Linked DNA regions of Drosophila melanogaster. The protein of the gene in region 2 interacts with the protein of the main gene of each other region in a pairwise test. Each region holds a gene or a part of one and is shown on either strand. Other genes may lie near its edges.

Evidence for each region.
Region 1: the proteins of Vsx2 (region 2) and CG4250 interact in a two-hybrid assay, tested with the Drosophila melanogaster proteins (2 studies listed by BioGRID).
Region 3: the proteins of Vsx2 (region 2) and CG17377 interact in a two-hybrid assay, tested with the Drosophila melanogaster proteins (2 studies listed by BioGRID).

Annotation. Positions count from the first base shown.
Region 1 is NT_033778.4:22,660,003-22,667,180, reverse strand, and holds CG4250 (uncharacterized protein), read right to left. Parts: upstream 3,490-7,178; 5' UTR 3,437-3,489; coding exon 3,268-3,436; intron 3,193-3,267; coding exon 3,060-3,192; intron 3,007-3,059; coding exon 2,904-3,006; 3' UTR 2,707-2,903; downstream 1-2,706. Other genes in the region: CG42867 (uncharacterized protein), read right to left, coding at 1,232-1,334, 1,397-1,497; CG42565 (uncharacterized protein), read right to left, coding at 6,016-6,112, 6,320-6,630; CG13511 (uncharacterized protein), read right to left, coding at 7,043-7,145.
Region 2 is NC_004354.4:5,555,711-5,564,963, reverse strand, and holds the start of Vsx2 (visual system homeobox 2), read left to right. Parts: upstream 1-4,780; 5' UTR 4,781-5,001; coding exon 5,002-5,554; intron 5,555-9,253.
Region 3 is NT_033779.5:6,800,574-6,808,601, forward strand, and holds CG17377 (uncharacterized protein), read right to left. Parts: upstream 2,217-8,028; 5' UTR 2,135-2,216; intron 2,082-2,134; 5' UTR 2,065-2,081; coding exon 2,038-2,064; intron 1,975-2,037; coding exon 1,378-1,974; 3' UTR 1,280-1,377; coding exon of another isoform or gene 1,278-1,279; 3' UTR 1,135-1,277; exon of another isoform or gene 1,133-1,134; intron 1,078-1,132; coding exon of another isoform or gene 1,067-1,077; 3' UTR 805-1,066; downstream 1-804. Other genes in the region: CG17376 (uncharacterized protein), read right to left, coding at 1-108; Daao2 (D-amino acid oxidase 2), read left to right, coding at 2,479-2,681, 2,737-2,949, 3,019-3,315, 3,373-3,685; CG17375 (uncharacterized protein), read right to left, coding at 4,105-4,606, 4,673-4,786, 4,859-4,969, 5,025-5,104.

The DNA.
Region 1 (7,178 bases), on a different chromosome or scaffold from region 2:
TTCGTTTGGTTGGTAGTCACGAACTGAAACCGAGTCTTGCGTTTCACTACTCTTGCGACTGCTGTTGCGCAACATTGTTGCTGGCAAAAGCTCTTTGTCGTAGCTTTGTATCTTGTTTGCATTGCTTTTGAGCGCCAACCAAGTCAAGCAACTTAATTTGTTGAAAGCGAGAGTAAATTCGATTGTCAATTGAAATCATGTTCAAGGAAGGAGGAAAGCGCAGTATTAAGTACTGGACTTTTAAATCTTGTTTCCTTCAATCGCCCAAGATTTTATTATAATTAACTAATGATAATCCAGGTTAAAACTAGATGAGCTAATACAATTACATATCTAAATAAATATGCAATTGACAATTTTGTCGTGTGCTGTGCAATAATGTCAATACAGATAAGAATGATTAGCTGAGTCAAGAGCAGTTATTGTACTTTACTTATTTATTTTATTAATAATATTCTACATATGTGCATACATTTAATCAAATTATTGAAGTCTTTAGAATTTGCATTACTCATCCAAATTATCACTAACATTTTTATTTATCGGTTGTCCGCAGCAACAAAAGGATCTAAAATAAGACAAACTTGAAACTGTATTTCATCTGGACGAAGGCAATCTTAGCTCAAGAATAACATACAGCGTATTAAACCACAATCTTTGGCTCCACGACAACTTGAAGTCCTCGGAATTAAGACATACTTGGGACGTATCTTTTGCTCCAGAATTCGGAATTGTAGCCTTCGGTTCGGATAAACTTTTGTAAACCTCCGCGGACCGTCCTTTGAATGCTGGTGTGCTTTTGCGTGGCATCTTTTCAGAACTAAGTTCATTTAATCTTCTATTTATTAAGCCTCAAAACTGTACTCCCGAATTCTAGGAACAAGTCCAAGCTGAACTGATAAGGCCCCACTGTTATCAACAAGCTTTTCTCAAGAGTATTTCTAGTATATCGAACAATTCAAGATGCCGGAAATAAAATCCCCTAGGCCTTACTTTTATCTTAAATTCTTTTTACAAGCCGAGCTCCAGACATCTGGAAAAATAAATACGTATTTTATTGCTTAAAACATATTACACTTAAAGTTCATGTATAGGCTTGCTGCTTTGGAATTTTTCAAAGTGCATTTCCAAAGCTCAAAAGCTCGTGTATATATATTTCATCTGCACTCTGTGGTAAACAGAAATGCAACAGCATTCCTATTTTATTTCAGATTGAGATTCGTATGCCATCTTAGGGGGATCGGTTAGGATCGCCTTTCCAGCCACAGGAACTGCATTTGTAGTAGGATTCATAAATGCCGACTCCACAATATCGATGACCGCAGCATATTGCACTAGCAAATATAAACATTTCAGTTGAAGTTGAAGTAATATCTTCTCATGTGCACTAAAGTACCAAAAATCCATCTTAAGCTTCTTGAATCGCGAGATAGCCAGGCGACTTCTCCTCACCATGGTATGTGAATCGCAGTTGGGACAGTTCGAATCTGTCGACATTTCACTGGAAGCTCCAAGCTTCAACTATCTTTTGTGCAATGCAGTTTGATTGCCGGTTGCATGTTGCAATTGGGTGACTCATGGAATTCTCATGAAGTCAACGAAACATACACATGAGCGTATCAGAGAAATTTAAAAATACTACTACATATATACTTATACACTCTGTTATCAGTTTTAAACTGCAAACTGTGTATTCGAATGGATTTAATAAGTTGATAACTGCGTAAATTTCAAATATCAATTTTTATGTTTTTTGCTACATTGTTTTGACTTTGCACCCAATTTTTGAGCAAACATTCGTTGCTGGAATATAATTGCGATATTAGTTATTTATCGTATATCTATCGTACATTGTAAGCACTATAATTTACCAGTATCTTATAACACATCCATCTATGGTAGTCTTCATAACTCATAGAACGCTTTCTTTCGACACTCGTGACTCGAATTTGCACGTTTCACAAACTATCGTTGTACAGAAGTCTGAATTATCGCGATGTTTGTGAAATAGGAGGAGGAGTTGGAATTCTTTGGTTTTTACCCTGATCATAACATTACGCTGGGTTTTCCATTTCACGCTGACGTCTAGAGCGCAGCTCAAGTTCAATTTACTGAACTCGCATTTCATTTCAATTTGCCTGAACTGAAATGATAATACTGACTGCTGGAATCAGCGAAGCTGATGAATCTCGGCAAATATGAAATCCGCTTGCTTGAATAATAACTTACTTATATAAACATGTTAATAAAATTGGACATCGAATTTGCATCATTTCAGGTATTAATCTGGATACTAGTTGCCAACATTTTTTAAATTATATGAAATTAACTAAATATTGTTGCCCATCTTTTTTATTGGTATTATTGCAGAAAAAGTTGTAATCAAATAAACGGATAAGCGATCAAATTACCTTGTTTCTTCCCTATTCCTTTGTTTAGTGTTTAATTCGAAGAGGGGAAATATAAAATCTAGGTATTAAATTACAAACCTTTTTCCACTGTTCATTGACATAAGTTGTTCAATATACATATATATATATATATATATCCAGTTTCAAGAAGAGGCAGCGATTGTTAGATCAACAATGTGAATGAAGTTATATAAAGGGCGTAGGATGCAGAACCTCAGATAAAAATATCTATAATATATTCCCGCCTCAGAAATTTCCGGGATTTATTAATATTATATACGAAAGTGTTAACATTCATATATCGCCAACAATTTGTGTGATTAGAAATTTATTTTGAAAAGTAAACCAATGCGAAAATTACATACATATATTCAATTGATTTGAACCAGAGTTGTATTTCGTGAATATTCGTGCCAAATCTGATCCCATCAATAGGTGTGGAGATACAAAGTGGGATCTATCCCTGTAATATTTGGTGTTGAGATAGCACTTCTAGTTCTTGTAGGTGCCCACGTAGGCTCCACAGCTGGTGCAGGTGTGTTTGGCCGACTGGCAGGAGTCGGTGCAGTACGGAATGCAGCAGCAGCAAATGCCCCTGAAAATGGCCATTAGTCCTGCGGGCAGGTGGAGCAAACGGGCTGCACTTACCCCAGCATGCAGATGAGTAGGGCCAACAGGTGGGTCTTGGTGCTGGGCTCGAACTCCACCTTCGTCTCCCTGCGGACGCCGCAGCTCGGACAAGTGGCAACGGATGGACATTGGCCCAGGACATTGGGTGGAGCTGAAAGAGGCACGATTGGATTTCGTATAATATGCGATATTATATTTTATGTTTGAATTGCACAGAAGAATTGACCATTATTTCCGATTGATTCATAGTTCTCTGTATTCTCACCCTGCAATATCACTCCCTGTCCCTGATGGAGCTGAGGATAGACCTGCTGCGGTGCGCTATCATAACTGGGCGGTGCCTGGAAACCCGGAGCCTGAGGCTGCATATTCTCGTATTGAAAGTTCTTCTCCATTCTAATTATTCCGACCGATGTGTGCTACGCGTTTGAATTGCCGACAGCGACTGAAACCGCAGAGAGCTCCTCCAACATTGCTCGGCGAACTTTCGAGTTGCGGCGCGATGCGAATTCTATATAGCCCTACTATGTCGGATGGCTTGCTAAGCGATTTCCGTTAAATATTATGTGGCTATCAGAATAAGGGCTTTTACATGAGTAAGTGTTCTTTTTTTTTTGCAGGATGAAAAGCTTTAGTAAGAAATTGCTCAGCCATGATGAATTAATTAATATCAAAACTTACCAATAAAACAGAAATGTTAGCACTTAGTAGGGTATTCCATTGTCAGGTAAACAAACCAGTAGCTTTTACCCTTCCGAAATGGTCCTTCCAGCTATGCTATTAGCACGTATATAACAACAATTTGCATATTTATTGAAAACATAAGAAATACTCAACTCTGCTCAAGAATTGCGTTGTCTCTAAAACAAATCAACCCCCAGGTAAAATCCACTCGTTTCTTCCTTGAACCCTTTTATTGGTGTGCTGAAGAATACATATGCCGGCACTACAATGATTTGTTTTGTTATCAAAATAGTGCGTAGTAATAAATGTGAGAGAGTTAAAAATAGATCAAGTGGGGATAAGTAATGGGGGCTGCATTTCGGCACGGCTGCTGGCTGCAGTCCACGACAAAAAAAAAAAAACAACTTCCGGCGGAAGTTGCTCAGCGCTCGTAGGTGCCAATGTAGGCGTTGCAAGATGGACAGTGGTGGTCGGAGTTCCGGGCGCATTGAGTGCAGTACAGGCAGCAAGCAGGGCCAAAGGCTGCACGAAAGAGATCACTCAATGAGAATGCACCCAGAATGTTAAGAAATCAATATCGAACATGGCTTACAAGGTAAGGCACATAATCAATGCTATCAGGTGAGTCTTGGTGGTGGCTTTCGGCTCCACACGAGTGGTAACCTGTTGACGGCAACTGGGGCAGACCACGATGCACGGTTCCGGGCCAACGGAAGTGGACATTTCGATGGCGGAGCTGCAGAAAGAAAGCACAGGAAACTCTAATAACTCTCATATTGATTGCAGCGCAGACCTTGAAAACTTGAATACGTCGCGTGCCGCTGGTGCATGAGCATTAAATTGGCTGGTTAATGGGGATTTTAATTGCACACCCGCCATGCAAAACAAGCTGTAATCCGCCTTATCTCCCGTCGATGGCACCACGGTGCTGCGCAATCCCTCCTGCCGCCGTGAGGTCATCCTCGTGGGCCACGGAATCTCTTGTGCCATGTGGCAAGCTTCGTGCCGACGCCGTCATCGCACAACCGCGTGTGTCTGAGCCCCGCTCAACCCCGATTCCATCCATCATCTTTGCTCGTCGTTTGGTGCAACTTGCTTGCTCGGTCTGGTCCTATCCAAAATCAACACAATCTATTTATGTATGTTCTCACTAGCGCAAACCACCCAGCACAGTATCCTTATTTAACAGCGGGTGTGTCCGTCGCCAGTGATTAACATTCCCCCCGAAATCCTACTGTCGTCCTGTATGTCTTTGCTGAGTTCTCCCCCAAGCAAAAGTAAATTTTTTGGGGAGCGGCAAAGCAGCGGTAAACATCTAAACAACCAGATATTACCCAATTAGACCTGACTATAATAGTCCGTTGCTCATGTTTGACCCAATCCTAGGCTTGCATAATATATCTCTCCCGTCATACTTACAATCTGTATGGGTGGGTACGTTGTCAAAATAAATAAAGTAGAATTCCGATTTCACAGAGAGACAAAAAGTTAATGCGCACTGTTTGGGCTGCGAAAGTGTTGTGCGGTCAGAAGTTTAGGGCGCGAAGCGGGACACTACACTTCCAAAAGTATTTCCGTTAGCAACATTATGTTGCCTAACTGGGAAGTGATATTTATATACATCCTTAAAATTGATTACAGCGTATCCCTAGGCTGAGTTAAATTAAAATCCTTTTATTCCATTTCTTAAGAACTAAACATTTAGCAGAAATTCAAATATTTTACTAAATATTCAATTATAATGCAAAGAACTTCAGTGATTTCATTTAATAGCATGAACAGTAATCTTGAAGCATCTTAGCATCAATTTAAACTGTGCCAACATGCCGGTTCGTCCCAGCAACATTTTACCGGTTCAAAACAGTTTCATATCAACATTTATTGCTGGACACAAAAGAGTTGTGCTACGAAAAAGTTTCGGGAAAAGACCGCCAAAAAGTACACAAAAACAAAAAAAAAAAACGTATGAACAATTAAGTTTCACATTATTTTTTCTGCAAATCTAGTTGTCTGCAGCAACAATGTAGCCAGATACCCAGAAACAGAAATTAAAGAAAATTCCATTCGCTTCAAAATCTATTTGTTTATTTTTTCGCTGTCAGCTTATTTTGCTCACTAAGCAAACATATTTTTATGTATGTTAAGTGATGAAGACACCACATTGACGCCGTCGATACATAAGGAGATATGAACATACATACATATATGTATGTATAGTTGGTTATGTATATATATATACATATATATAAAATGAAATGATATGAAATCGGCGAGTGTTTTCGCTGCGTCTTCAAAACGAACCCAAGCAGGAGTTGCAGTTGGGACAGTACTGGGAGGTCTTGTAGCAACAGTTGCAGCAGCAAGGGGCGCAGACGCAGGGCCAGCATCTGGTGGATAGAGATGGGAAATAGAGTATATAGCTTATAAGGCACGATCAGCAATTTCTCATAGCTTGTCCAGGAAGAAGCAAAACAATTGCGGCCACAGATATAGCAGACTAGTAAAAACATTTCTTTTTCCGTTTGCTTACATACACATTATGTATGTACAAACCTTTGTTGCTATACTTGCAACCATAAATGCGATCTACTTACAGGAATAGGCAGAGCAACGCCGCCATACAGTAAGTTGATCCGGTAGGATGGTGCTCCACGCGAAGGCGAATCCGAGCGTTGCAGTGGGGACAGATCGTTCCCTGGCGGGTATTGTCCACCAGCACTGTCGTCTGGTGATGCATCACGCTTACGGGCTGCAACACCGGCATGGTTTGGGCCATCACGGGTATCACCGGATTGGGATGTGCGGGCGACGCCAGGTTCTGCTGCATGACGTCCTCCGCTGGAGGAGCGGTGGCGAATGGATCCGAGTAGGGCGGCGGGGAGTCTACGCGCTTGTAGCAACGCATGCTTTTCTATACTCTTCAAATCACACTAAAAATATCAACCAGTTGCTTACAGCTGCGAACGAGCACTGATATAATACTGAAAGCTTCCGTATATGTATATCGATGACAGTTTCATTAAACTCAGAACTGCCTTATCGGTATCGGTATTCAATTGATTCGCTTTCCTCATATTCTGGGTATTTATCCTAATACGAATATAAAATCTATCTACTGGCACACTAGGTGAGGAAATTATGGACCAGAAAAGATTACTTCATATGTGCAGTGAGAGTAGTAGAAACCATCCGTCATTAACAAAAAGAACTTAAATTTAAAACGTTATTATTTTATGTATCTGTATACATATATGGCTAATCTTGATTAAGTCTTGACATGGAAGGCATTTTTGGCAGTGCGGAGACACAGCACTTGATCAAATGCTATAGCTCCCAATGTGGCATCCACAGTTGGGACAGTAGTGCTGGACACTCTTGCAGTAGTTGATGAAGTAGGGAAGGCAGATGAAGGGCCAGCAGCTGGAGAATCAGGTTAGCAAAGTTAGTAAGCCC
Region 2 (9,253 bases):
CCCATAAACGAGACGCGGGACCTTCCATCATCATTAGCGACCCGTCGACAGCGATCTACACTGAGGCAATTTACATTATTTTTTCGTCCTTATTTCAATCCCACATAGATGTTAAATGTTTTTTGAACAATGCGAATTTTATGCTTGATTTTATGGGTTTGAATCTAACCAAACCATACTAACTTATTTTCTCTAAAACATGATTCCTTATACTAATATCTGATTGATGTTTGCACAGAATGCGCTTGAATTTCAATACACTCCACTGCTTTTCTCTCAGTGTGTCGGCCATCGGGGGTACGCGTACTGTAAACTCAGCGGCCAGCCACTTCTTCATGTTACACTTCAATTGAAGTTCGGCCATTTTGGTTTTCGCATTTCACACCCCTCGCTCCCTTATTTTCGTTATTATTATTGTTGGTTTTTTTTTTTCTTTTTGTACAGCTACTAATTTGTTTTGGCCCTGCGCGTATTTCGTTGTTGCCTATTTTCCAATTTGAGGCTACAACCACCGTCGATGGACAGAGTTGCCACCACCCCTAATCACACCGCTACCCCTCTCGCCAATCATTCCGTTTACGTTGGGTTGTGTGGTAGTGTGCAGTGTTTGCCTTTCGGTTTACTCAAGTGCCAACTCGAAGGCCTGTCCCATAAATTGGTTCGTCGTCATTGTCGAGCACACACTTCGGCCACTTCGGTAGCTCGCACAGCCAGATATAGGGAGGTACACTGAAAGAAATGATTCGTAGGGGTCAGATATAGGGAGGTAAACTGAAAGAAATGATTCGTAGGGGTCAGCGTAAGTGTCTAGCAAGGACCGCTTACAGCTTTCGAGTTAACAAAATCGATTTAGATAAAATGTGACAATTTTGTAGCATATTTGTTGGAAACACAGAACGAGGTCTTGCCGTTTTTCTTAGTGTACCCAAAGAACTTAAGCCGAAAGCAACCCAGCCCAGTCGAAGAACTAGCGCCTGTCAGCGAGCATCCTCACTCTCGAGTGCCCTCGAATGATAAATCATTTTTCCCGTCGTTCACACAAATGATGATCGAGTATTTTCAACTTCAGTTCGTCTGTTACTTTTTGCTGGGCGGAAATTAGTGCAGATAATCCCATTAAAGGATGTACATATCGTTTTCTTTATATGGCATCAAGGGGCGGTGGTATTTATAACATGGATATGAGTAAAAATGGCTACGAAATGAGATTCATTAAAACGATTTTATAAGTAATATTTAGCGATAATGAACATAAAAATAAGCAAGGTAAAATCCGTGGAATTCGACTAATTAAATAAATGTGCGAAAACTTTCACTAATTAGCGAAGACACAAACCGACCGCAGAACAAGGACACGCTGATTGGCTTTGTGCAAAATTAGCCATAAACGCAACCAAAGCGCCATCTGTGGGCAGCGCCCGCAAACTTTGTGTCTTCGCCAAAAGGCAGAAATTAATTTTCTCACGTTACCCATGCGAAATAAACAATTAAATAATTGAAAACTGAACTCGAAATAAGCAGGACAAGCAACAATGACCAGAGCCACAGAAATAGCAGACACAATAACAATAATAAATAATAGTAATATGATAATGACGATTATAATTCACGGCTAATACCAAATGCCTCCACTTGTACGGTAAATGCAATTAGTATGCTCTATAAATTATTTCGGGGCTTAGCGAAAGTATTCAAAACGCAAAATAATTGGTTTTCAATTATTGACAACATATATTTAATCTTAGAATTTATTTCATATTATTCTAGTTAAGAAAGGCCCATTTTTTAATAAGAATAATAATAGAAAATATGAAATTCGTGAAAATTTTCCTAATAATATGCCCATTTATAGCACAACTTTTGAAGAGTATTTCAATCTCGCCTAAGTGCGAATGCCAAAAACCTTCACTTCGAAGTTTTTCTCTGCTTTTCGGGCCATTATCGTTGTTATTATGCCATTGTGGCGCAATTAAAGTTTCAACTAATCACACGGCAACAATTGTGTGACAATAATATTGTCTAAAGCCCCTTGAAAAAACACCCCCGTTGCCCCGCGAAGATTTACCGAGATTTGTTCACACTTAACAACTTAATTACACAACAATGTGCTTGTTGTTATTTATGCCATTTGATTTATTATTATTATTTATTACTGCTTTTATTCGTATAGGATAGCTTTATATATATATATATATATATATATATATATATATTTTTTTTTTTGGTAAGCCTTATACCGCCTGTCAGTCCAAAAAATAATCGAGAAACTCGCTGGGGGAAGCCTACACAAAAAGTAACTGAACTTTAATTGTTCATAATTAAGTTTGTCCGATTCCGATTCCGATTGTGTGCTGTGCATTGTGTGTGTGCCAAGACAATAATAGTTAAGTAAATAAATCTCGACACATAATTGACAATCGATTTTGGTAAACTCTCGCACTTGAGATCATAATTAAATCATTCGGCGGGCCACGTCAACTACCAGAAATGTGAAGAGCAACTCGAGACGAAATAAGGCACCCGGTATCAAAGTATTCAAAAATATATATATATATATATATATGAATGAATATGAATGAATATATAGCCGGACTTTGGCCAGGTAGTTGGGTTGTCAGTCCTTCGTTGGCACGTCAAAATATTTGCAAAACAAAAGCACACAGGTCCGAGTTCCTGGAAACTCGCAGGACATGCCAGTGGATTTAGTAAAAATAAAAAAGCAGAAATAAAACAAGAAATCGCCAACATTGAACTGTAACCAATGGTTAATGGCCAGGTGAAAACTATATGGTTCTCAGCGAAATAGAGTAAAACTATATCATCAATATCGGATTACCCATAATCATCGGCGAAATTCAATATTTATTTTGACAGGATCCCCCGGCGATTGTAATTGCAAGTTAATTAACAATCAAATTCCAGTAAATAAACGAATTTCGCCTTAAAGAGCTCGCATACCCAATGAATGAATCATAATCATTCCGGGGGCAACCTGCTTAAGAAAATATCGAATTACCCGCGAAATTCTTCTAGCACGCACTCTTCGTTCGCTGCCTTCCTTTCTGCAGCCTGCCCCCGTCTCTCTCTCCCTCGCTCTCTTTCTCTCTCGCACGACCACGTTGCCTCTCTTTCTTTTATTTCCAAATGCCAGACTGCGTGGCCCGACGGATATGTACATACTTACATACATATATGTATATACATATATATGATCTGTGATTCCGTTTCGTTTCGATCCGCTCCGATTTCGCTGCGATGGCCGTGTGAGCGTTGGCATTTCAATTGTCTAATTGCCGCGTGGGTTTCTCCATAGGCAGAGCTCACTGTGTGGGGGCGTGAGAAAAGCCCCAAAAGACCCGTTTGCCTGCCACTGATCGTGGCTTTCCAATTGCTGGTGTCTTTATTTTCTTTAAATAGAAATCAATGCGTGTATATAGAATATAATCGATGCGTAACAAAATATATTTATATATTTTTTTGAGAATTAAATATCAACACGTTTTTTCTATCTGTGTATGGCCTTTTGTAGGAGATCCCTTTCGGGACCGAGTTAATTGTAAGTCCCTCAATTGCCTAGCAGTAATTTGCAAGTCCATTACAAGCTCTACTTTTCGACTGCTGCCGAAATCAAGCCGAATTATTTTGCCGAATTTCGGGACATTTCTCCGAGAACAATAACCCACATAGCACGACCCCAAAATCTCTTGAAATCCTGCAAAACTGCGCAGCAAGGACTCTCCCACTGGCACACACGCACACACTCATGCACACAGGACGTGGTGTAAATGCTAATTTACGCATTTCAATAGTACAAGTTTTTGGCGAAAATTTTAATTAGACTGCCTTTTTTTTGGGGAAGGGAAAGGCATTGTTAGGCGGCCGACAAGTGAGTAGTTTCTACCAGCTGGAAACCGAATGGTGGCTCGTTTTTTGGGCCATAAATTGGCGTCCTTCATTGAACGGAGAGCGGTTGGAGTTCCGAGTTCGAGTTCGGGTCTGCGAAATAGTTGTTTTCTTGCGCCTTTTTTTGCGCCACCCCAGCCCTGTTGACCATGCCCTCTCCCACTCTTGCGCTCTCTGGCTCTCTTTCACTCACACAAAATGGGCGCCGCACACTGTGGCAATCGGGCACCAATACAACGGCAAGCAGCGCACCAACACTAATGCGTTTCGGTCCGAACTGGAAGTTCGCGGGAAAACTGGAAGGTTACGCGTGTGCGAGAAGAGCACGGCTAGATGGTGCTTGGAAGGCGCTTGCTGCTCTCCTCACTCTAACGGCGAATGGATGTCGCACATGCGCCATGTTGCCGAGGGGAAGGCCCATATGCTGCTGACTCCCTCGCACTCGCTGAGCGGCGAAGAGTGCGGCTAGCGTGCGACAGAGACCGCCCCTGAATATTTACCGTTGCCGGGCAGCGCAGTCGACGCGAGCGTCGCTGTCGGCGCGCTGCTTTTGCCGCCGTTGCCGCCGTTACTGCTGTTGCTGCTGCTGTTGGTGTTGCTGCTGCTGCTGCAAATGTTGCTGCTGCGCTTGCCATGCGATTTGAGGTCCTCGGAAGAGCAAAGCTCCGCTGGCCGTTTACCGTTTGTTAGCTGAATGCCTCCTTGGCCAAATCCAAAGCGAAATGCAAAGCCAAGTCGAAAGCCAACCACCAGCAGCAACATAACGGCAGCAACAGCACGACAGCAACAGCAACAGCAAACAGAAACAGCAACTGCGACGACAAAACTCCTGGTGCACATTAACGCAGGCAACAGTTTAACGTGGAAATTATTGCGAATTTGTTGTGTGTTTTTCTGCGACGCGTGCCAGCGCAAAATCTCAAAACCTCCATTCGCAAATCCCATTTCGCGTAGTCTTTACAACATTGCAAAACTTGCCTTTGCTTTGTTTTTTTTTTTGTTTTCTGGGTTTCTCAATTGGGACTGCATGATGTTTTCAAGCGATTTGTTTTGACAACGGCAATATCTAGACGTAAATCGAAATATTAGCAATCGAAAATGCCGCAGCGTTCGCCATTTGCCATTCAGGAGCTGCTGGGCTTGGCGGTGGCGGCGGCCACAGAAGCGCCAACCGATCTGACGACAACTGCCGGTGCAACGGTGGCAAAAGAGCGCCAAACGCCAACGCCGCCAAAGACAACAAATGCCACAATGGCAACAGCAGCAACATCAGCAGCTACGGCAGCAACACCAACAAATGCGGCCGAAGGCAATTTAACGAGCGTTTCGGAGCCACAGCAGCAGCCGCAGCAGCAGCAACAAGAGCAGCAGCACCACCAGCCGCACCACCATCAGTACAGGGAGCACCACCAAATGACCATGGCGGCCGCCTCGCGAATGGCCTACTTCAATGCCCATGCGGCGGTGGCAGCGGCCTTTATGCCCCACCAACTGGCCGCGGCGGTGCACCATCATCATCAGCATCAGCACCAGCACCATCCACACCACCACCCGCACCACCCACACGGAGCCGTTGGCGGGCCACCGCCGCCGCCGCCGATGCAGCACCACCACCCCCACCATCCGCACCACCCGCTGCTGCACGCGCAGGGTAAGCCAATGTCCCCGCCAGCGAACCACTCAAATTGCAGTTAATTGCAGTTAGTAAAACACAGATATATATATTTTTTTCATTTATGCATATACTGAACATGGGAAAGTTGAAAAGTGCCGTAGCTAACTTACATATATTTCGCTATAGCGATTTTAAAAATCTTTTGTTCGATGTATTTACACTGACAATCAAAGCTTAAACGCAATTAGCAATCGCAACTGGTTTTGTCACCTGCCAGACACACCAACACAGGCGCACATATACACATGCTCAGATACATTTACAGATTCAGATTCAGATACAGATACATTCGATTCACACGCACACGCACACACAGTGGGGCGAATCGGTGTCTGGAGTGCCGCTTAGTTAGCATAAAAAAGGAATTAATCAGCGGTCCATCGTCCGCCAAATCAGCTTTGGCCCCACTGCAAACGACACAACGCCCGCATCCGCACCACCGCTCCACCGATCCGGCAATCCGGCAATCCGCCTCCGAAGCCACTCCAATCCAAAGCACCACCACTCAAGTTGAGCTGCTAATTGCACTGTGTGTGGATGTGTGTGTGTGAGTGTTTGTGTGTGTGTTGCACTCTGGTTTGAGCATAGCAAAAACTGGGCTTCACAATTGTTGCAATAGTTTGGGCACACTAACGACAATAGTTAGTTTTCATATTGTTTAAATAAAATTCTAGAATCAGTGGAAATCCGAATCAATTTATAATAAGCTTGGTATGCTTTTCGAGTAGGTTTTTGGTCGCTTTTGTGCCACTGTAGGTGCGCCTTTGTTTGGCGATCAGCACAGGCAATGAAACACGCACACTGCAAGAAAATCCCACACACTAACAGTGAACTCGAGTCGACCTGCTGTCTCTCTCGATTCAAAGCTCATTTGCAAGTGGCAATATCATACGAAGTTGGAGCGATGACAGTGAAGGCAGATAAACAGAAAGGCATGAAAAGCCGTGCAGGGATTGGATACACGGTAAAAAACTAGGAACTAGTTGCTGGCTGCCAGAAGTAAGCAGTTGATTAACAACATAAGCACTTCAAATTGTTATATTTCTCATTGGATTTGTGAACTATATCTGGAATGGCATTAATAACAAAATCCTGAAGCGTTTAGCCAAATTTCTTTCACTGTGAAAAGTGCGAGGCTCTGCAGATAATCTTGCAGATTCAAGTGGCAGCTGTTATTATTGTTATTATTATTTTAATTAGCGTTGAAATATCATCATCGTCATCACCGATTTCCATTGCTCTGCAACTGATTCACTGTGCCAATTTCACTGCGCACTCACTCAACTTATGTGGATATGTAGATACATATATGAGTAGATTGAATCTGATTTCTTGATTTCAAATCTGTTTACCCCTACACTTCCGGACCCTTTTTTTTGGGGTCTTATTATTATTATTTTTTTTTTTATTGATTTCGCATGTTGTGCGGCTTTCTTTTTGGCTCGATGTTTATGCGTTATTTTAATTACAATACTCCTATCCGTTTATCGCCCATTTCCACAGTTTCGTCGTAATTTGCGTTTAATAAATGTGGGAAAGAGCACTGCTCTTAGCTGCTAAATAGTTATGGGTAGTATGGGCTAGCAGACTGGGATTACAATTTAAACTATGACCAATTAGTTAAGGTTTTATAAATAGTGGTAATGTATGTAGTATGTAATAGTTGTGCTCATTAGTTTTGGTGCAATAAACAGGGCGAGTTGCTCTGCGATGATGAGAGAGAGTGGGTTGCCTCCGCTAAAAGCATATATTCTAGGGTATGTAATAGTCGTGCTCATAAATAGAGATAGAGAAAGTGGTCTGCCTGTGGTAAAAGCTTATAAATTAGGAAAGGCTTATATGTTTTAGGGTATGCAGTAGTCGTGCTTATTAGTTCACTCCCCATTTTCTTCTGTTCTGTTTAGCCGTGCTTTCTGCTTTTCATTCGCGTCATCCTATTTAATTTTGCATATTTTCAACTCGCTTCGTTGTCGTACGAATATTTCGGGTATCCGTTGTTGATTTTATACCCATTTGCGTGGCCAGCTCGTCAATTAAAAAATCGCATCAGGTTTGGTCGAATCGCGAGCGAATTTCTGGCCGGATTTCGGACGGATTTCCTGTCCAGAGCTGAGTACTTGGCGCCCTCCATTAAGTGCCTTTGATCTTTTACCAGAAGGGAAAACCCAAATCGGAAAATTGGTTGCCCAACGACAATAAGAAAAGCGCTTTTTCTTCGCACACCACACCGCCACACATTTAATTGACAATTTTCACTTTGGCTACGCGCGTCGCTTTGTTGTGACAGTCGTTTTGATGTGTTTGCACATCCCCACACACACATACAATTCAAGATTTTCCTTGTATTGGTGCACTTGTGCTGCAAAGATTTCGACAATTTACTCGCCTCTCGAAATTAACCATTTAGGATTTTCCACTTTTTAGCTGAGCATGCCAACAATGTATACAGATAATAAGTAACTAAGTTGGTATGTATGAGTTCAAAATTTAAGTTAGCCAGCTTGAGATGCTGATGCTGATCCATTGGGGAACGGCTTACTAAATAGATATTACGTTTAAATTCAGTTACGAATATTCGTAAGAGTAATAATCACGATTTCCTTATCATTTCCTTATGTACTGATTTATGTACTGATTTATCGTTTCTAGTGGCAACGGAAGTGTTGCAATCACTGACTCGACTCCAGAACTGCTAATTGCTGGCTGTCAGTCTGCCGAAAACTCTGGCCATCTCCATTCAAGTGGCAACAGCCAAATATCCGTATGTCGCCGCCCTTTGATATTTGAGCCACTTTGCTAATAGCCAGCCCCATTATATATGTATATGTACATATATGCATATGTATAGCTGCATGTGCATGTGTGTGTGTGTGTGTCTCCTTGGCTGATAAAAATATTCTTAATTGTAGTTTCGCCTCGGACATTGTGTGCGGTCGTCTTTTGACTTTGCTTTGATTTTGCGTTGACGTAAATTAGAAAAGCGAACGGTTGAAGAATGTGGGAGAAATTCGGAAAAGTGTCGACAAACGCCCTTCGGTTTTTTGAGTATTTCTCACTTTTTGGTTTTTGATTTTTCAGTTTTTTTTTGATTTTTTTGATTTTTTTCTTTCACATTTTCTACATAAATTTGCTGCTGCTTAACCCCTTGACGCCCCGCACTTTCTGCATTCTGCATTGTCCGAGGTGTGAAAATGTTCGGCGTCAGCGTTTCACGAGTGCAGTTATTGTTTCAGTTGTTGTTGCCAGCACTTTACCGCCTCCCCGCCCAATGCCACTTATTTGCATTGCATTCTTGTTTTTGGCACTTTGTCACACTTTTTCGCTTTGATTTTTTGCGAATTTAAAAGTCAATTAAAGCAACTTGACGAACGAAGTGCCGAGTGCCACTCAAGGGTTAATTTGTCCGTGCCAGTGTGAGTGTGAGTGCGAATGAGTGTGAGTGTGAGTGTGAGTGCAAGGGGTGAGCCTGCAATTGTGTGGGTGTGAGTGCCAGTTGATTCACAACCGTTCGCATCGAACGGAATTAGCCGCAATAATTTCGAATTTTCTCAAACGGAACGCCATGCAATTCATTCACGATAATCACAAATTACACTTGCAATAAATTGCGATAACTATAATATTAAATATACTCAAGCTAGCAACCAAATGAAAATCGCATGTAAATGAAAGCAT
Region 3 (8,028 bases), on a different chromosome or scaffold from region 2:
CGGAGCAGGAGAGCACGGGATGGGAGACGGGGCTCCGCATGGCGGACTGTGGGGGCCACAGCAGGGTGTTTCATTACAGGGTCCACAGCATCCACATCCGTTGCACATGTTGAGTTTGTCTAACGCTGCGGGCGAAAAGTTAAGATGTTATACTTTTTGAACAAATACTTAACACTCACTTTTTTGGTTGAGTTATTATCGAAAAAGTAAATTTGGAATTTAGAAAAAAATTTAGAAGTCGAAGCGACTGGTCCGAGAGTCAGATATCGAATGAGGTTAGCTGTTCCCTTGGCCCAGCACATCCAGTTCAAGTTTCGGTTCGGGTTGGCTTAAAAGTCATGGCCAACTTTATGAAATTTCATGGCCTACTTCGACTTAGCAAAGATTATGAAATCGCCACAGATCTACATAATTATATATCTATATTTGCCTTATTCACTAAAACAAAATATTTGACCCGCGAATTGTTTAGGTCAACTAACTCACTAAGATTGGAACATGGCTCTCCCAGCTCGAAAAAATGGGTTTAAAACAAAGTACTATCAGCAAAGTTCAACTTTTAATTAATTAAATCTTAAATGCCACGGAAACCCACCCTAATAAAATTGATATTAATTAATATAAATATCAGAATATCTGTGGGACATATGAACGTAAATTTTTATGGCCTTGGCATAAGGTTTCAACCTTAATTTACAATTCTAATGCCAGGCTTAAAATATAAATATTCGAAGCATAAGTGCAGCCATAAAATAAACGCAACCTTTAACACCCCCCATAATACACAGAATATAATTTCAATTTGTTTATTTGTAATTTAATGCCAAATAGATTCCAGATACCAACATATGATTTTGTGTTTAAATCAAGACCGTCTGACGAATTGCACATGGGTTCCCAAATAGCTTCGAGCCCTTCTAGTAATGGGTATTCCGCAGCTGGCTAAATCTTGATTTAAGCCAACTTCAATTTTTTATCAACCAAAACTACGTCACAAAACGACAACATGTCCCGCCAAGGAAGTGGCCCATATCAGGATCCGATCGAAACACTTGCCAGGAAATACTTATAAGCCACCTGTGGGATGAGAAAGGTAAAACCAGTGAATGCAGAAGGTATCGCAGTTACTTACACGCGACAGGATGCGGATGGAGGTCAAAGGGTCATGAAGGATTTGGGGCCTGGCAACAGCATTTGGTCCATGGATCCTACCTCTACGCTCACAAAGCCCAGGACATGCTATCATTGTTGACGGATCAGCGTAGTGGGCATAAAGCTCCTGCAAAAGGACATGAAGCGTCACCACAAGCACATGTTCCAGATGCTGTGACCTGCAAAGTCCTTGGGCATGCCTCGTGCTCCTCCGCTCCATGGTTTTTACGTTCTACGGACGCCCAGCGCCGTGACAGATGGACAAGCAGACGGACAGACAGGCGGACAGGTGGACGGACCTGGACCGGACTTACATGGGTACGTCACAGGTGCGTTATAGTAGTTCCAGACACGCGGATCGGGAATGCCGCCTTCAGGCAGCGGAGGGCAGCACATGCCCGGAGCAGAGGAGCAAGGAATGGGCGACGGAGCTCCGCATGGAGGACTGTGCGGGCCACAGCATGGAAGACTGTGCGAGCCACAGCATGGAGGACTGTGCGGGCCACAGCAGGGCGATACATTACAGCAGCAGGGACCGCATCCACAGCAGCCGCCGGCAACGCGTCCACCGCATCCGGCACCGCCATTTGGTGCTCCAGTGGCGGCACAGCGCATACGCTTATTGTTCACGCCCATCATCATGTTAGCGTAGCGCAGCGGGAATGCCGCCGGACCGCAGGTGGGGAAGGGGAAGCACAGGCAGGCCGGTCGGCCCTGGCAGGCGGACCGCGGGCACTTGTCCTGCAGACCGTTCCGCTTCACGCAGTCGCAAGTGGTGTACATGATGCCGCATCGTAACTCCCGACTGCGGCATCCGCGCGGCTGGAAAGGATGCATACATAGTGGTCACAAGTGGTCAGTGGTGTGTTGCATATGGTTACTCACCTCCAACGATCCACATCCGTCACACATCTTGAGCCCGTCGAGCGCTACAGGACAAAGGATTTAAAAATATACTATGGTCTTCCCGGGATAAACTTACTCTATTTGGTCAAATTAATTTGGAAGAAAAATTTGGAATTTGGAAAATTTAGAAGCTGGCCGAAACGAAAGGTCCGAGAGTTTGGTATCGAATGAGGAATGATCAACACATCCCAACACACATATTCGGTTCCGTTTGAGATGAAATGCAAGGCCAACTTGTTGGAATTATAGCCTACTAGATTTTAAGAAAGAGTTAATATTAGATTCAAAATGCAAAAAGCTTTTTCGCTCTTTTTAAAAGCTCTGTTATCAGCTAATTGTATTATGCGATTTGCTTACAATTCTGATAAGCGATCCTCTTTTCAGTTCATTCCAAGTTCCCAAGCTGATCGGATTGGAGCAATGCCTAACATTGCAGTTATCGGTGCCGGGGTTAATGGTGTTGCCAGTGCCATTAAGATACTGGAACACTATGTGAACGATGGAAAGACACCCATAAAGGTGACGATCATATCGGAGGACTTCACGCCTAACACAACTGGAGATGGTTCGGCTGGTCTCTGGGGTCCGTACCTTCTGGGCGGCACTTCGCAGGCGAAAGTCTAGTAAGTTTTACTAGTCACTATATTATATTCTTACTTATAACTTTTTTTCCATCAGCAAGTGGTCGAAGAGCATGCACCAATTTTTGGAGAAGATCTGGCTGAGCGAGGATGCCGGAGAGGCTGGCGTTTGTCTGCTACCCTGCATTCGGCTGAGCACCTCAACGGTGGACACGGTCGAAGATTTTTGGCGTGACATTGTCTATGGAGCAGTGGATCTGTCCAAGGAACAGCTGGCTGCCTACAATAAAGGTCGCAGCGTTAAGTTCACGTAAGAATATTCATAGATATCCATAGATTTATACTTGCTGAAATATGAACATATCTAAACCATATCTAGGTCTGGTTTATCCTTTGTTACCTACACCTCGGAGCCCATTAAGCTACTGCCGTATTTGATGAAGCGTTTCACCCGAAATGGAGGTGTTGTTGTCCGGAAAAGGATTACAGACCTGGATGCATTTGTAGCCGATTCCGAGTACGATGTGATAGTCAATTGCTCCGGATTGGGCTCTAAGACCCTACTAAACGACGATCAAATGTACGCAGTGCGTGGCCAAGTTTCCCGGGTGAGGGCCAACTGGATTTTCTCTGCCGTGCTGGACGAGAGTGATGATGGCAACTATATTATACCCAAGTGAGTATTTGCCAGTTACACTTATTTGTTCGTATTCCAATATCTGAAATATTTAAGCACCGAAAGTGTTGTCCTGGGCGGAACCCATCAGGAGCGGGACTACAACACTAAAGTCTGCCAGAACGACAGGCGGATGATCGTCGATGGCTGTCAGCGGTACATTCCTGGTTTGGAGCACACGGAGTGCCTCTTTGATTGGGTAGGTCTCCGGCCGGGTCGCACCCAACTCCGACTGGAAGCCGAGCGCCGCGGCCGCAAGCTCCTCATCCACAACTATGGACATGGCGGCAGTGGAGTCACTTTGTGCTGGGGCTGTGCCGACGATGTCCTCAATATCCTGTTGGCCGCCAAGAACGGTTCCAAATTATAAGTCAGTTGGAAAGATTATTATTTTAGTTCTATAACAAAATTGGTAGTGTAAAGGTAACAGCATTTAAAAGCATCTCTTTATCTACATAATAAACATTTTAATATATTTCATTACACTTAGCAATTTCTATATGGAAAATGTTATAAAATTGAATTGAATGCTGTACTACGTTTTGATTGGGTCAATGCAAGCATATTTTTGCCTGTGTAGGCAGCACTATCGCCATGGCATGGGGATCGTATTGATAGGCTTATCACCGACTGCTTGGAAACATTCCACTATTCCACCCCCCCCGTCAAAATTGGCACTCCACGATGGTGCCTGCAATTAAGTAATTGTGAAAGGGAAGCTGGGGGAATTACGATGGGGTAGCCCAAGAGTAGGCAGACATTTATGTGAAGAAGACAGCAGGAAACATATCAAATATCGTCGTCGTGGCGCTTTTCGGCTGCCTCCTTGGCCAACCTGGCATCCAGGGCCTCGTGGAACTCCTCGAAACCGGGCATTTCAATGTACTTCAGTACCGGCGAGACGGCCAGTTCAAACAGCAGTGCGTACATCTCGTCTAGCTCGCGAAGGATGTCAAAGGGCCGGGTGTTGCCAACCTTGTAGATCGAGTAGATAGTCCGCCCGATCTCTTCGTAATCGATCAGACTGGCGGCCTCCTGGTCCACGGAGCTGAGGGCGATGAAGCTGACCCGCGGCATGTGCATGTGCTGGGCCACAAAGCCAAAGACATCGAAGATGGTCGACAGGAAATCCCGGTTAAAGTAGAGCTCATCCGGAAAGGCGATCTCGTGGACGAACAGTGCATCGTAGGTGGAGATGCCCATGTTCGCTTTGGTCGCATCGATGAGCTCCTTCTTCATCATTATGATCTGCTGGAACAGATTCCTGGGCAACGAAGAGGGAAAGAAGACCCTGTAATAAAAACAGACATGTTACTAGTATATATTAGGCAAATGATAGTGGATTTATTGATCATACCAGGAGTGCCATTCCTCGGTCATCCATTCCAGCAATCCCACTGCCCTTATTTGCGTTTCATCTTCGCTAATCATCATCACGGAGCACTCGTTTCGCAGGATGTGTCGCACATACCTTTATAACAATATTCCAATAATGTTTTATTACTCTACATTTGTTCATAACTTTTTTATAAAAGCACATTACCAAGAATAAGTCTGTTTCATGTCCGGCAAATCGAATAGTCCCAGACTCTCATAGACAAGACTTTTCAGAAACGAATTGGACCACATGAACTCGATCACCATGTCATAGTACCTACATATATTTCAATTTTAACATCTAAACTTTACATTTCTCTGACCATACATGCTTTGAATTGATGTCAACTATTTGCATGCCCTCGAAAACATCCCATTGGATATCATACCGCAGAGTGCGGACATCTTCCATCGCATTTAAGTCACTAAGAATTTTAAAACCACCGAAGATTTTTGAATTATATATACGAGCTCAAAAGGTAGAAGTTAAAAGTCTGGAAACTTAAGCTAAAACTGCAAGATACTTTCGAAAGAAGAAAAGAAAAGCAAAGCATACTTTTTGGGTCCATAAAAAGAAGGAAGTTAACGTACCTCAACAGACCATTTTTTTGAGTGTTTTAAATGAAGTACATTTAAATATCTGAAATGTATCTGTAATGTTTAGAATAAAAGGTGAGCAATACATTTCTCTATTAATGTAGATAATTTCTTGCTAGAAGATTGGAATATGGGTTTGCATACTTCTTGGATGGCATTCACGTTGCTTGTAAAACTGTTCAACATATTGTTTTCCAAATACGATGGTCTTAAATTGGTTTTTTTTTCATATCCAAACGGAATAACCGTAAATGTTTATTTGTATTACGAAATGCAAATGAACTGTTTTGAATAATGTCATAATTAAACGAATATACAGGCGGTAACAATCAAGGGTGATACGTGTAAATTTAATTTGTCTAATGTCTCAATTTGAATAAATTGCCACCACATAAAAGCAAATGCAGCCCAAAAGAATGTAAATAACAATCGCACCCATTTTGTGGGTGGAATTCAATGGAAGGCGGATATCGTAGTCAAATGGAAACCAAACCAAATCCACCCTCCAGCCAAAAAAAAAAAAAAAAGAAAAAAGAAATGTGCCAACTGAGAACACGTCCTGGAACATACACCTTGGATTCCTTATTTTAAAATTCAAAGACCATCGGGTGTCATTTACTAGGCAACAAACCAATTGAATAACCGAATTTGGCTCGGATGCTCCCTCATTTCCTAAAAGGATCCCTTCTCAGGAAAGACAGCGCATTTTTAAATGTTTCACATCCTTGTCCGTGAGACAATTGAATATTTAAATACAAGCGACACTTTTAATGGCTGGCATCGGATGTCGGTTGGACCGCTGCCACACGCATTTGTGGCATAGCTATTCAGGACACGTATGCCGCCGTCTCATGTCTCTCCTGATAAATTCAATATCGAAAAGAAATAACTTAATTTTTGGCATTATTCGATGGGGGATTTATTTGAAAGTGCTCTTCGCTTTTCTCTTCATTTCATTAGAACGAATGGTTCGAGCTTAGTCGAGCTGAAGCATTGAGCATCGGCTTTGGCTAAGTCCGCAATGGACTTTATGATGTTGCATAAAATGTGTGTGTGGCGGGCATAAAAACGTCTCATTTGGGACTCATTTAATCCGCCAAATTGTTTGCACACACTCGCATTTGCCACACCCATCGTCGCACATCCTTTCATGCCACAAAAAGGTAAACGATTCGGTGCCGCAACAATAGCAAGTTTCAATTCATTCGAAAATCGCTTAACGTCAGCCGGGCGGTTTAGCATGTTTTTCAGCGCACACCTGCGCATTCCCTCGGAATCGCGAGCTGGGTGGTGCCACCCAATGGTGAAGCTGGTCTGGGTGGTTCTCTGTGGATCTGGGTGGTGCCCCTGTCAGCCGTGACTTGCATTCGCCGCTTGCGTTTAAAATCGAAAATACACAACGAAATGGAATGCAGCCGAAAAGCAAAGGTGTCGGCAGCTAAACGGCGATCAGAACGAAGTTTATACATTCTAAAGATAGTAGTAGTAAAGATACAATACATAACTTCAGACTGCTTATATTACTAACTAAATTACTAAACTAAATGATCTGACTAAAGACTGAAAGCATTTTTGATTTATTTTTTATTTATTGAATAGTAATGCACACAAGAAACCATGTATTTAAATATTTAAATTGAATGGTATATTATCCTAAGCTGTAGTTTCTTATAAATTTATACACTCTGCACCCCAATTAACGAACCCTTGACAGGGTATGTCAGTGAGATGTGATTGTGATGGCTGAAAAAGCCGGCTGACAATGGATTGCGGGTTGGTTGGAATGGATTCTGTTGGAATGGGATTCTGGGAGCTGTACACTTGTTAGCCGCAAGGTGTTTGCAACCTCATCAGGGGCAGCCCACTTTCCCATACCCATTTTCATTCGGTTGAAGCTTCGCGGTTGTCGAAAGGCAAACAAATAAACAAACAAGTCGTCAGCAAGGGTTCAACAAAAGCAGAGTGCTCAAAGTAATTCAAAATACAGTCAAATGGGAAAGGAGTTGAGGATAATCCATGGGATAATCTATGTGCTGCCGTAGTGTTACCCCATGTTTGATTATTTAGCGTTTAAAAAGCGTTTAGTCTAAGTATCTTTCTGTTTCACTGCTCTGCAGATGTTGAAATACATGAAATTTTTACTCTGGAACTTTTCTCGGCAATGATTTGCCTGGTTCACTTTAGGGGAAAAATTGCGTAGCGATCATAGCTCATAATTATGCTTGTAAAAACAAATTAAACTTCAGTTATATACTCCATTTTGACTCTTCACAAAACTCCGTTGTCTGCTGGCTGATTTTGGGACTTAAAATGAATTTAACAACGGCAAGAGAGGCTTCATTTTTGTGGCAACTTGAAACAATGATGTGAGCAAAGCTGTTTTCAAGCCAAAAGTCGCTAATCATGTCGCAGCAAGTACAGAAATTAGAAGATAATAAAATATAATTTAAATAGATTATTATGTATTAAGAACAAATTTAAATGAATTACGACTATTATTTAAATAGTTACAAGCTTTGTTTATTTTTTATTAGCTCACCTTAGTATGATTATCCAAATGTCTTATATATTAATATGCTAAAAAGTTTGTAGCTTTTTCACATTTTTCGGCGAGCAGCACTGAAGAGCATTTCGGCCTTTAAGAAAGACGTTAAGAAACTTCGGGCTCGGTTTTAACTCACTTAGGTCGCTTGCGACTTATGCTAAACTTTTCAATTGCCTCTTATTACAGTTGTTATT